2 linked regions of the Saccharomyces cerevisiae S288C genome follow. The protein of the gene in region 2 binds, or shares a complex with, the protein of the main gene of each other region. Each region holds a gene or a part of one and is shown on either strand. Other genes may lie near its edges. A codon is read from its position in the direction of its gene.

Evidence for each region. Proteins that work in one complex are often made in the same cells at the same time.
Region 1: the proteins of PIN4 (region 2) and RAD53 are in contact, whole or in part, in an NMR structure (PDB 2A0T), measured with the Saccharomyces cerevisiae proteins. Residues at the interface, in NP_009502.1 of Saccharomyces cerevisiae: Pro303 (codon at 2,499), Asp304 (codon at 2,502), Thr305 (codon at 2,505), Leu306 (codon at 2,508), Glu307 (codon at 2,511), Ile308 (codon at 2,514), Tyr309 (codon at 2,517); in NP_015172.1 of Saccharomyces cerevisiae: Arg70 (codon at 2,044), Ile81 (codon at 2,077), Ser82 (codon at 2,080), Arg83 (codon at 2,083), Leu84 (codon at 2,086), Ser85 (codon at 2,089), Asn86 (codon at 2,092), Thr106 (codon at 2,152), Asn107 (codon at 2,155), Gly135 (codon at 2,239), Val136 (codon at 2,242).

The regions. Positions count from the first base shown.
Region 1 is NC_001148.4:261,167-266,028, reverse strand, and holds RAD53 (serine/threonine/tyrosine protein kinase RAD53), read left to right. Parts: upstream 1-1,836; coding exon 1,837-4,302; downstream 4,303-4,862. Other genes in the region: peptidylprolyl isomerase RRD2, read right to left, coding at 1-1,001; YPL152W-A (uncharacterized protein), read right to left, coding at 1,329-1,427. UniProt on the Saccharomyces cerevisiae protein: Controls S-phase checkpoint as well as G1 and G2 DNA damage checkpoints. Phosphorylates proteins on serine, threonine, and tyrosine. Prevents entry into anaphase and mitotic exit after DNA damage via regulation of the Polo kinase CDC5.
Region 2 is NC_001134.8:122,228-126,351, reverse strand, and holds PIN4 (Pin4p), read left to right. Parts: upstream 1-1,592; coding exon 1,593-3,599; downstream 3,600-4,124. Other genes in the region: alpha-soluble NSF attachment protein SEC17, read right to left, coding at 233-1,081, 1,198-1,227. UniProt on the Saccharomyces cerevisiae protein: Involved in normal G2/M phase transition of the mitotic cell cycle. In association with RAD53, also involved in checkpoint control in response to DNA damage.

The sequences.
Region 1 (4,862 bases), on a different chromosome or scaffold from region 2:
CAGCAGTCTCCCCAAGTAGTATGAACATGTCCTTCAAAATTGCACTCATCATCCTTATCAGTCCCATCATGTATGTGGCCTCTTGGTGGAGATACACCATCCGGACAAGGCAAAAACTCGCTAAAGTAAAAATGTTGCATGATGGGCAATTTACTAAGGACTTCGGCTTTATACATTTTTATCATCCCTTCAGCAACTTTTGACCAAGTCTTTACACCGCTGATGTCATCTAGCATAGGAGAATGCCATCTCAAGGAGGCGGATGACTTGACCTTATTAATAAAAGCGATACAACCAAAATATAAGTACCGATGAGCGAACATTTCTACGAGCTCATTATTGTGAATTGATATCGGCTTTAAGTGCTTGTGGGTGGTTAATTGGAAGGCACCAAATAGAAATGGAAGGAAATGATAATCATCTAATCCCCAAACACCATGAGAGCCCGCAGGCTCAAGCCAATATTTAGTTTCTAGTATCCTCATTATTTTAAGGTATTCTATAAAAACTTTCAGCACGAGGTTAGTTGAATCGTTTGAAAGATTGAATATTCCATAACTATAGAGTCCATAAAGTAAACACATGAAATTTAATTCATGACCTGAACCATAATCAATTCTTCTTTTATTTCCCCATGATTCATCTAGATAAATCGATAATTGTTCCAACTGCTCATCTGTGAGAGAGGGAAATTCGGAACGTAAGATCTTCCTGGAATTCCGTGAAACTTCGTCATAAAAGTCCCTAAACTCAACCTTACCAAATCTCGAGCTATCTGCATCCTTTATTACTGGGTGCTTCTGAGTGATATCTTTTATTTGCGAAAGCAAGTTCATCATACTGTTTATTGACTCCGATATTGGTTCTTTGTACTGGGAATTCTCATGTCCTTTGACAGATTCAGCCAAATCTATAATAAATTTAGTGAAATGAGCTCTTGTTGGGGATTCTTCCCATAGTTTCATATCGTCTGGAGTCAATAGTCTCTTTTCTGGCAACATCTTTTTCTAAATATTTATATTGTTCTTTACGGATTGTTGTTTATGGACTGTTCTTTCTGCACAGGCGACTAACATAAAGTACCTCTCTCTTGTCATTGATATCCCTTTTGTTCTATCACATCCGTTAGGATTTTATTCTGTGCTTACTCACGTGAAAGAGAGGGAAGAGTGTAAAAGTTACCCGAAAATCTATTATGGCGGCTATTGTAGTACGTCCAAAACAACGTATTTCAATGTAAATTCAAAGCAAACACTGAGAAAAAACAAAAACTTACTTATTGGTTCGCTCAGCACCTACCTAAATGGTACTTTTAGAATGATACTGTATTATCTACCGTGGTATCGGCAACTATAGGACGGAGATAAAGCATGCCAAAGTAATTCTTCCTTTATTAGATGAGATTTCAGCGTGAGGTGAACCATCATTTGTTTGGTTGGTGCATTAATAGCCTGCTTCCTTTTAATTAAGCCGGAAAGTGTTTGTCACAGATGTCAATGAAACGTGCATCTATTAACATATTTATTTTCATTTCGAGGGTGAGGTGGTGTGGACGCGTTGATACGGCAACGGGAGTGACGCGTAAAATTGGCAGAAAAATCATCACCGTGGGTAGACTTGGAAATGAAAACATTTATAGAATAAAGGTACAGGTTGAGAAGATAAAGGGTACCAAAGTTACCATTTTGAAATCTCTGATCAAGAAAAGGTAAGAAAGCAGAAAAGGACGGTAGAGATTATTGGAAGACAAACTAATTTTGTATATGCATTCGATTTTCTTAAGCTTTAAAAGAGAGAATAGTGAGAAAAGATAGTGTTACACAACATCAACTAAAAATGGAAAATATTACACAACCCACACAGCAATCCACGCAGGCTACTCAAAGGTTTTTGATTGAGAAGTTTTCTCAAGAACAGATCGGCGAAAACATTGTGTGCAGGGTCATTTGTACCACGGGTCAAATTCCCATCCGAGATTTGTCAGCTGATATTTCACAAGTGCTTAAGGAAAAACGATCCATAAAGAAAGTTTGGACATTTGGTAGAAACCCAGCCTGTGACTATCATTTAGGAAACATTTCAAGACTGTCAAATAAGCATTTCCAAATACTACTAGGAGAAGACGGTAACCTTTTATTGAATGACATTTCCACTAATGGGACCTGGTTAAATGGGCAAAAAGTCGAGAAGAACAGCAATCAGTTACTGTCTCAAGGTGATGAAATAACCGTTGGTGTAGGCGTGGAATCAGATATTTTATCTCTGGTCATTTTCATAAACGACAAATTTAAGCAGTGCCTCGAGCAGAACAAAGTTGATCGCATAAGATCTAACCTGAAAAATACCTCTAAAATAGCTTCTCCTGGTCTTACATCATCTACTGCATCATCAATGGTGGCCAACAAGACTGGTATTTTTAAGGATTTTTCGATTATTGACGAAGTGGTGGGCCAGGGTGCATTTGCCACAGTAAAGAAAGCCATTGAAAGAACTACTGGGAAAACATTCGCGGTGAAGATTATAAGTAAACGCAAAGTAATAGGCAATATGGATGGTGTGACAAGAGAGTTAGAAGTATTGCAAAAGCTCAATCATCCAAGGATAGTACGATTGAAAGGATTTTATGAAGATACTGAGAGTTATTATATGGTGATGGAGTTCGTTTCTGGTGGTGACTTAATGGATTTTGTTGCTGCTCATGGTGCGGTTGGAGAAGATGCTGGGAGGGAGATATCCAGGCAGATACTCACAGCAATAAAATACATTCACTCTATGGGCATCAGCCATCGTGACCTAAAGCCCGATAATATTCTTATTGAACAAGACGATCCTGTATTGGTAAAGATAACCGACTTTGGTCTGGCAAAAGTACAAGGAAATGGGTCTTTTATGAAAACCTTCTGTGGCACTTTGGCATATGTGGCACCTGAAGTCATCAGAGGTAAAGATACATCCGTATCTCCTGATGAATACGAAGAAAGGAATGAGTACTCTTCGTTAGTGGATATGTGGTCAATGGGATGTCTTGTGTATGTTATCCTAACGGGCCACTTACCTTTTAGTGGTAGCACACAGGACCAATTATATAAACAGATTGGAAGAGGCTCATATCATGAAGGGCCCCTCAAAGATTTCCGGATATCTGAAGAAGCAAGAGATTTCATAGATTCATTGTTACAGGTGGATCCAAATAATAGGTCGACAGCTGCAAAAGCCTTGAATCATCCCTGGATCAAGATGAGTCCATTGGGCTCACAATCATATGGTGATTTTTCACAAATATCCTTATCACAATCGTTGTCGCAGCAGAAATTATTAGAAAATATGGACGATGCTCAATACGAATTTGTCAAAGCGCAAAGGAAATTACAAATGGAGCAACAACTTCAAGAACAGGATCAGGAAGACCAAGATGGAAAAATTCAAGGATTTAAAATACCCGCACACGCCCCTATTCGATATACACAGCCCAAAAGCATTGAAGCAGAAACTAGAGAACAAAAACTTTTACATTCCAATAATACTGAGAATGTCAAGAGCTCAAAGAAAAAGGGTAATGGTAGGTTTTTAACTTTAAAACCATTGCCTGACAGCATTATTCAAGAAAGCCTGGAGATTCAGCAAGGTGTGAATCCATTTTTCATTGGTAGATCCGAGGATTGCAATTGTAAAATTGAAGACAATAGGTTGTCTCGAGTTCATTGCTTCATTTTCAAAAAGAGGCATGCTGTAGGCAAAAGCATGTATGAATCTCCGGCACAAGGTTTAGATGATATTTGGTATTGCCACACCGGAACTAACGTGAGCTATTTAAATAATAACCGCATGATACAGGGTACGAAATTCCTTTTACAAGACGGAGATGAAATCAAGATCATTTGGGATAAAAACAATAAATTTGTCATTGGCTTTAAAGTGGAAATTAACGATACTACAGGTCTGTTTAACGAGGGATTAGGTATGTTACAAGAACAAAGAGTAGTACTTAAGCAAACAGCCGAAGAAAAAGATTTGGTGAAAAAGTTAACCCAGATGATGGCAGCTCAACGTGCAAATCAACCCTCGGCTTCTTCTTCATCAATGTCGGCTAAGAAGCCGCCAGTTAGCGATACAAATAATAACGGCAATAATTCGGTACTAAACGACTTGGTAGAGTCACCGATTAATGCGAATACGGGGAACATTTTGAAGAGAATACATTCGGTAAGTTTATCGCAATCACAAATTGATCCTAGTAAGAAGGTTAAAAGGGCAAAATTGGACCAAACCTCAAAAGGCCCCGAGAATTTGCAATTTTCGTAACCAAGGACAAATACCCATAGAAAATGCTGCCCCTTTTTAAGAGAGAAGATGGTAGATACCAATACTCAGAATTCATCTATTCATAACTTTTTGGGTTTTTATTACATATAGAGTGACGTTTTGATACGATTTACATTTTGAAATATATAGATTTTTGTATATTAATAAGTTTTGATTTTCAGTTTTAGTTATGCTTAATGAATTTTTGAATCAGAAAAAGAAGTTCTGAAAAAAACATAATCCTGCTTGATGTGGTACAACAAGCTCATAAATAATTTTAAAAAGTTTGTTAATCCGTTTTCAATATCTTGAGCTCCTCAATTGTATTTGCTGAGGTCTGATTATTTCTATAACCAAAAGCGGTTATTGAATCTATGGAGAGGCTGTAACCCGTCTTATGCCTTCCGGGTACTATATTTCATTTGCGGGTGTCGATGGATTAAGGGGCGGAGGCGGCCCTTTTTAGGATTTATATAAAAAGCCATACTTCCGTACTTCGTAACCTCTTATCAACTGGTTAAGGGAACAGAGTAAAGAAGTTTGGGTAATTCGCTGCTATT
Region 2 (4,124 bases):
TTCAACTTCGCTCTTGCAATAACTTTGAAACACACGAACAAAGGTTTATTGCGCTTGATTAACGTTGGAAGTATATGATACTAATACTACTTTGTTCTCTAAGTCATCGCTATATGTTTATCTCGAGGAAAAGGTGCACGGCGGTACACAATTACTTCGCCGTTTCGGGTAAAACAAGTGTTACATTTATAATATATATGTATATATGTATGTGCGCGTAAGTATATGCCGTTCATAACAAATCATCTTCTTGTTGCTGGATGGACTCCTTAATTTTATTCAAAATGGTAATTTTCCATTTATCTAGTCTCATAAAATTGTCAAACTCCTTACAGTGTTCGCTTAGCTGCTCGCTATCACCTTCATTAACAGCATCGATTAAACTTTTCAAGAAATTTGACTCCCTTGAATCCGCAAAATTCGGATCTTCACTTTGACCCTCTTGTAAAGTTCTTGCAGCAGCGACTGCATCAGTAGCAGCTAGCTGACAAAGCCCTTTTTTTAGGAAGTAATCCTTCAAACTCCATTGGCTCAATCTATTGCCCATGCTGCTCTTGATCAACTTCGAATATATATCACTTGCTTCAATATATTGACCGTCAAGAGCCTTTAGATCTGCGCATTTGATAAAACACTTATTCGATAATGCTACCGACTGGTCTTGGGCATACCACTCACCAGCGAGCTCATAGCAATCTATAGCTTTTGCATAGTCATGCAAATCATTTTCTAGAATTTCTCCAAGCTCAAACTTGAAATTAGCACCTCTCCGGAACTGCCCCCTATGAGTAAAAATTTGAATAGCATTTTCTAATGAATCCACGGCGTTCACAGAGTTTCCACCGCTTTTAAAGCATTTATAAGCCTCTACGTAGGTATTTCCTGCTTCGTCTTCATTACCAGCCTTTTTCTGATAGTCAGCAGCTTTCAAAAACGAGTCTCCTGCCAAGTTTAACTCTTTTCTTAGACGGTAAATGGTGGCTGCTTGGACACAAAGATCAGCAGCCTCCTCAAACTTGTATGAATCAGAACCGCTAAACAATTTCATGAAACCCGATGAAGGAACACCCTTCTTCTCAGCCTTAACACAACGGGAAATATCAATTCCCGTATTTCAATGTTAGTAATTTGCCTTCGTAAATTACGGAATCACATAGCTTTCATTTTGTTCCTTTGATATATTTCCCTACTACATACTCTTTTCAATAACTCTACAGGGTCTGACATTTTTAACTTTCAGGTTAATGATGGTGTTCTTACTATATTCTCGAGTCGTACAGAAGTTAGTTCAGATAAACTGCTTCGGTGCTGCCCACTTCTTATCATTACTTCAACTTTACCTTCCCTATACCTGTGTGTCCTTATTAATTCAAGTTAATCCGAGGTAATAGATTAGGGTAACCTTCAATGATGTCACGAAACACGGATGCTGCAACTTTGCGATTTTTTCCTGGAAAAGAATAACAATTAAAGGCAGCCTTTCAGCTGAGATTACCAGCAGGTCTTTGGAGATTAGCGCAAGAAGAAGTGTGATATAGTACTCATAGAGGCAGGCTACAGACTAGGGAAAGCGTGTTCAACAACAATAAGAAATGGAGACCAGTTCTTTTGAGAATGCTCCTCCTGCAGCCATCAATGATGCTCAGGATAATAATATAAATACGGAGACTAATGACCAGGAAACAAATCAGCAATCTATCGAAACTAGAGATGCAATTGACAAAGAAAACGGTGTGCAAACGGAAACTGGTGAGAACTCTGCAAAAAATGCCGAACAAAACGTTTCTTCTACAAATTTGAATAATGCCCCCACCAATGGTGCTTTGGACGATGATGTTATCCCAAATGCTATTGTTATTAAAAACATTCCGTTTGCTATTAAAAAAGAGCAATTGTTAGACATTATTGAAGAAATGGATCTTCCCCTTCCTTATGCCTTCAATTACCACTTTGATAACGGTATTTTCAGAGGACTAGCCTTTGCGAATTTCACCACTCCTGAAGAAACTACTCAAGTGATAACTTCTTTGAATGGAAAGGAAATCAGCGGGAGGAAATTGAAAGTGGAATATAAAAAAATGCTTCCCCAAGCTGAAAGAGAAAGAATCGAGAGGGAGAAGAGAGAGAAAAGAGGACAATTAGAAGAACAACACAGATCGTCATCTAATCTTTCTTTGGATTCTTTATCTAAAATGAGTGGAAGCGGAAACAATAATACTTCTAACAATCAATTATTCTCGACTCTAATGAACGGCATTAATGCTAATAGCATGATGAACAGTCCAATGAATAATACCATTAACAATAACAGTTCTAATAACAACAATAGTGGTAACATCATTCTGAACCAACCTTCACTTTCTGCCCAACATACTTCTTCATCGTTGTACCAAACAAACGTTAATAATCAAGCCCAGATGTCCACTGAGAGATTTTATGCGCCTTTACCATCAACTTCCACTTTGCCTCTCCCACCCCAACAACTGGACTTCAATGACCCTGACACTTTGGAAATTTATTCCCAATTATTGTTATTTAAGGATAGAGAAAAGTATTATTACGAGTTGGCTTATCCCATGGGTATATCCGCTTCCCACAAGAGAATTATCAATGTTTTGTGCTCGTACTTAGGGCTAGTAGAAGTATATGATCCAAGATTTATTATTATCAGAAGAAAGATTCTGGATCATGCTAATTTACAATCTCATTTGCAACAACAAGGTCAAATGACATCTGCTCATCCTTTGCAGCCAAACTCCACTGGCGGCTCCATGAATAGGTCACAATCTTATACAAGTTTGTTACAGGCCCATGCAGCAGCTGCAGCGAATAGTATTAGCAATCAGGCCGTTAACAATTCTTCCAACAGCAATACTATTAACAGTAATAACGGTAACGGTAACAATGTCATCATTAATAACAATAGCGCCAGCTCAACACCAAAAATTTCTTCACAGGGACAATTCTCCATGCAACCAACACTAACCTCACCTAAAATGAACATACACCATAGTTCTCAATACAATTCCGCAGACCAACCGCAACAACCTCAACCACAAACACAGCAAAATGTTCAGTCAGCTGCGCAACAACAACAATCTTTTTTAAGACAACAAGCTACTTTAACACCATCCTCAAGAATTCCATCCGGTTATTCTGCCAACCATTATCAAATCAATTCCGTTAATCCCTTACTGAGAAATTCTCAAATTTCACCTCCAAATTCACAAATCCCAATCAACAGCCAAACCCTATCCCAAGCGCAACCACCAGCACAGTCCCAAACTCAACAACGGGTACCAGTGGCATACCAAAATGCTTCATTGTCTTCCCAGCAGTTGTACAACCTTAACGGCCCATCTTCAGCAAACTCACAGTCCCAACTGCTTCCACAGCACACAAATGGCTCAGTACATTCTAATTTCTCATATCAGTCTTATCACGATGAGTCCATGTTGTCCGCACACAATTTGAATAGTGCCGACTTGATCTATAAATCTTTGAGTCACTCTGGACTAGATGATGGCTTGGAACAGGGCTTGAATCGTTCTTTAAGCGGACTGGATTTACAAAACCAAAACAAGAAGAATCTATGGTAATATATACTTCCATTATTCTATGATTATAGAGTTTGTTTGGTATTTGTATATCGCACGATACAAGTAATGAGGGGTGCTTACACAAGATAAAAGATAAAAAAATATATATATATAATAAAAACCATCAAAAACACCATTGAAAAAAAATATAAAAAAAAAAAAAAATAACCGAATATGAATATGAAATTAATGATCATGATGAAGTTAATTTTTACTGAGAAACGTCACCTAATGTCGATGAAACGATGATAATGAATGAATGATGAGGCTACTTTAAGTAACGCAATGTAATCAAGCCAAAATTATCCCTCTTTTTTTTTTTTCCCTCTTTTGAGATTTTATTTTTAACCTACTACTTACTTTTTTTTTTTGAACGTTCTTTTCCCACATACTTTTATATATGGTATTTATATGTACGATGTTTAATCACAGAGATGTTTCTACCTTACTCGATATTGTTTTTGCATTAATTGATATCTTGCTCACTGCATCATTGGCGGTATTTGTAGTATATAGAAAGTCGGG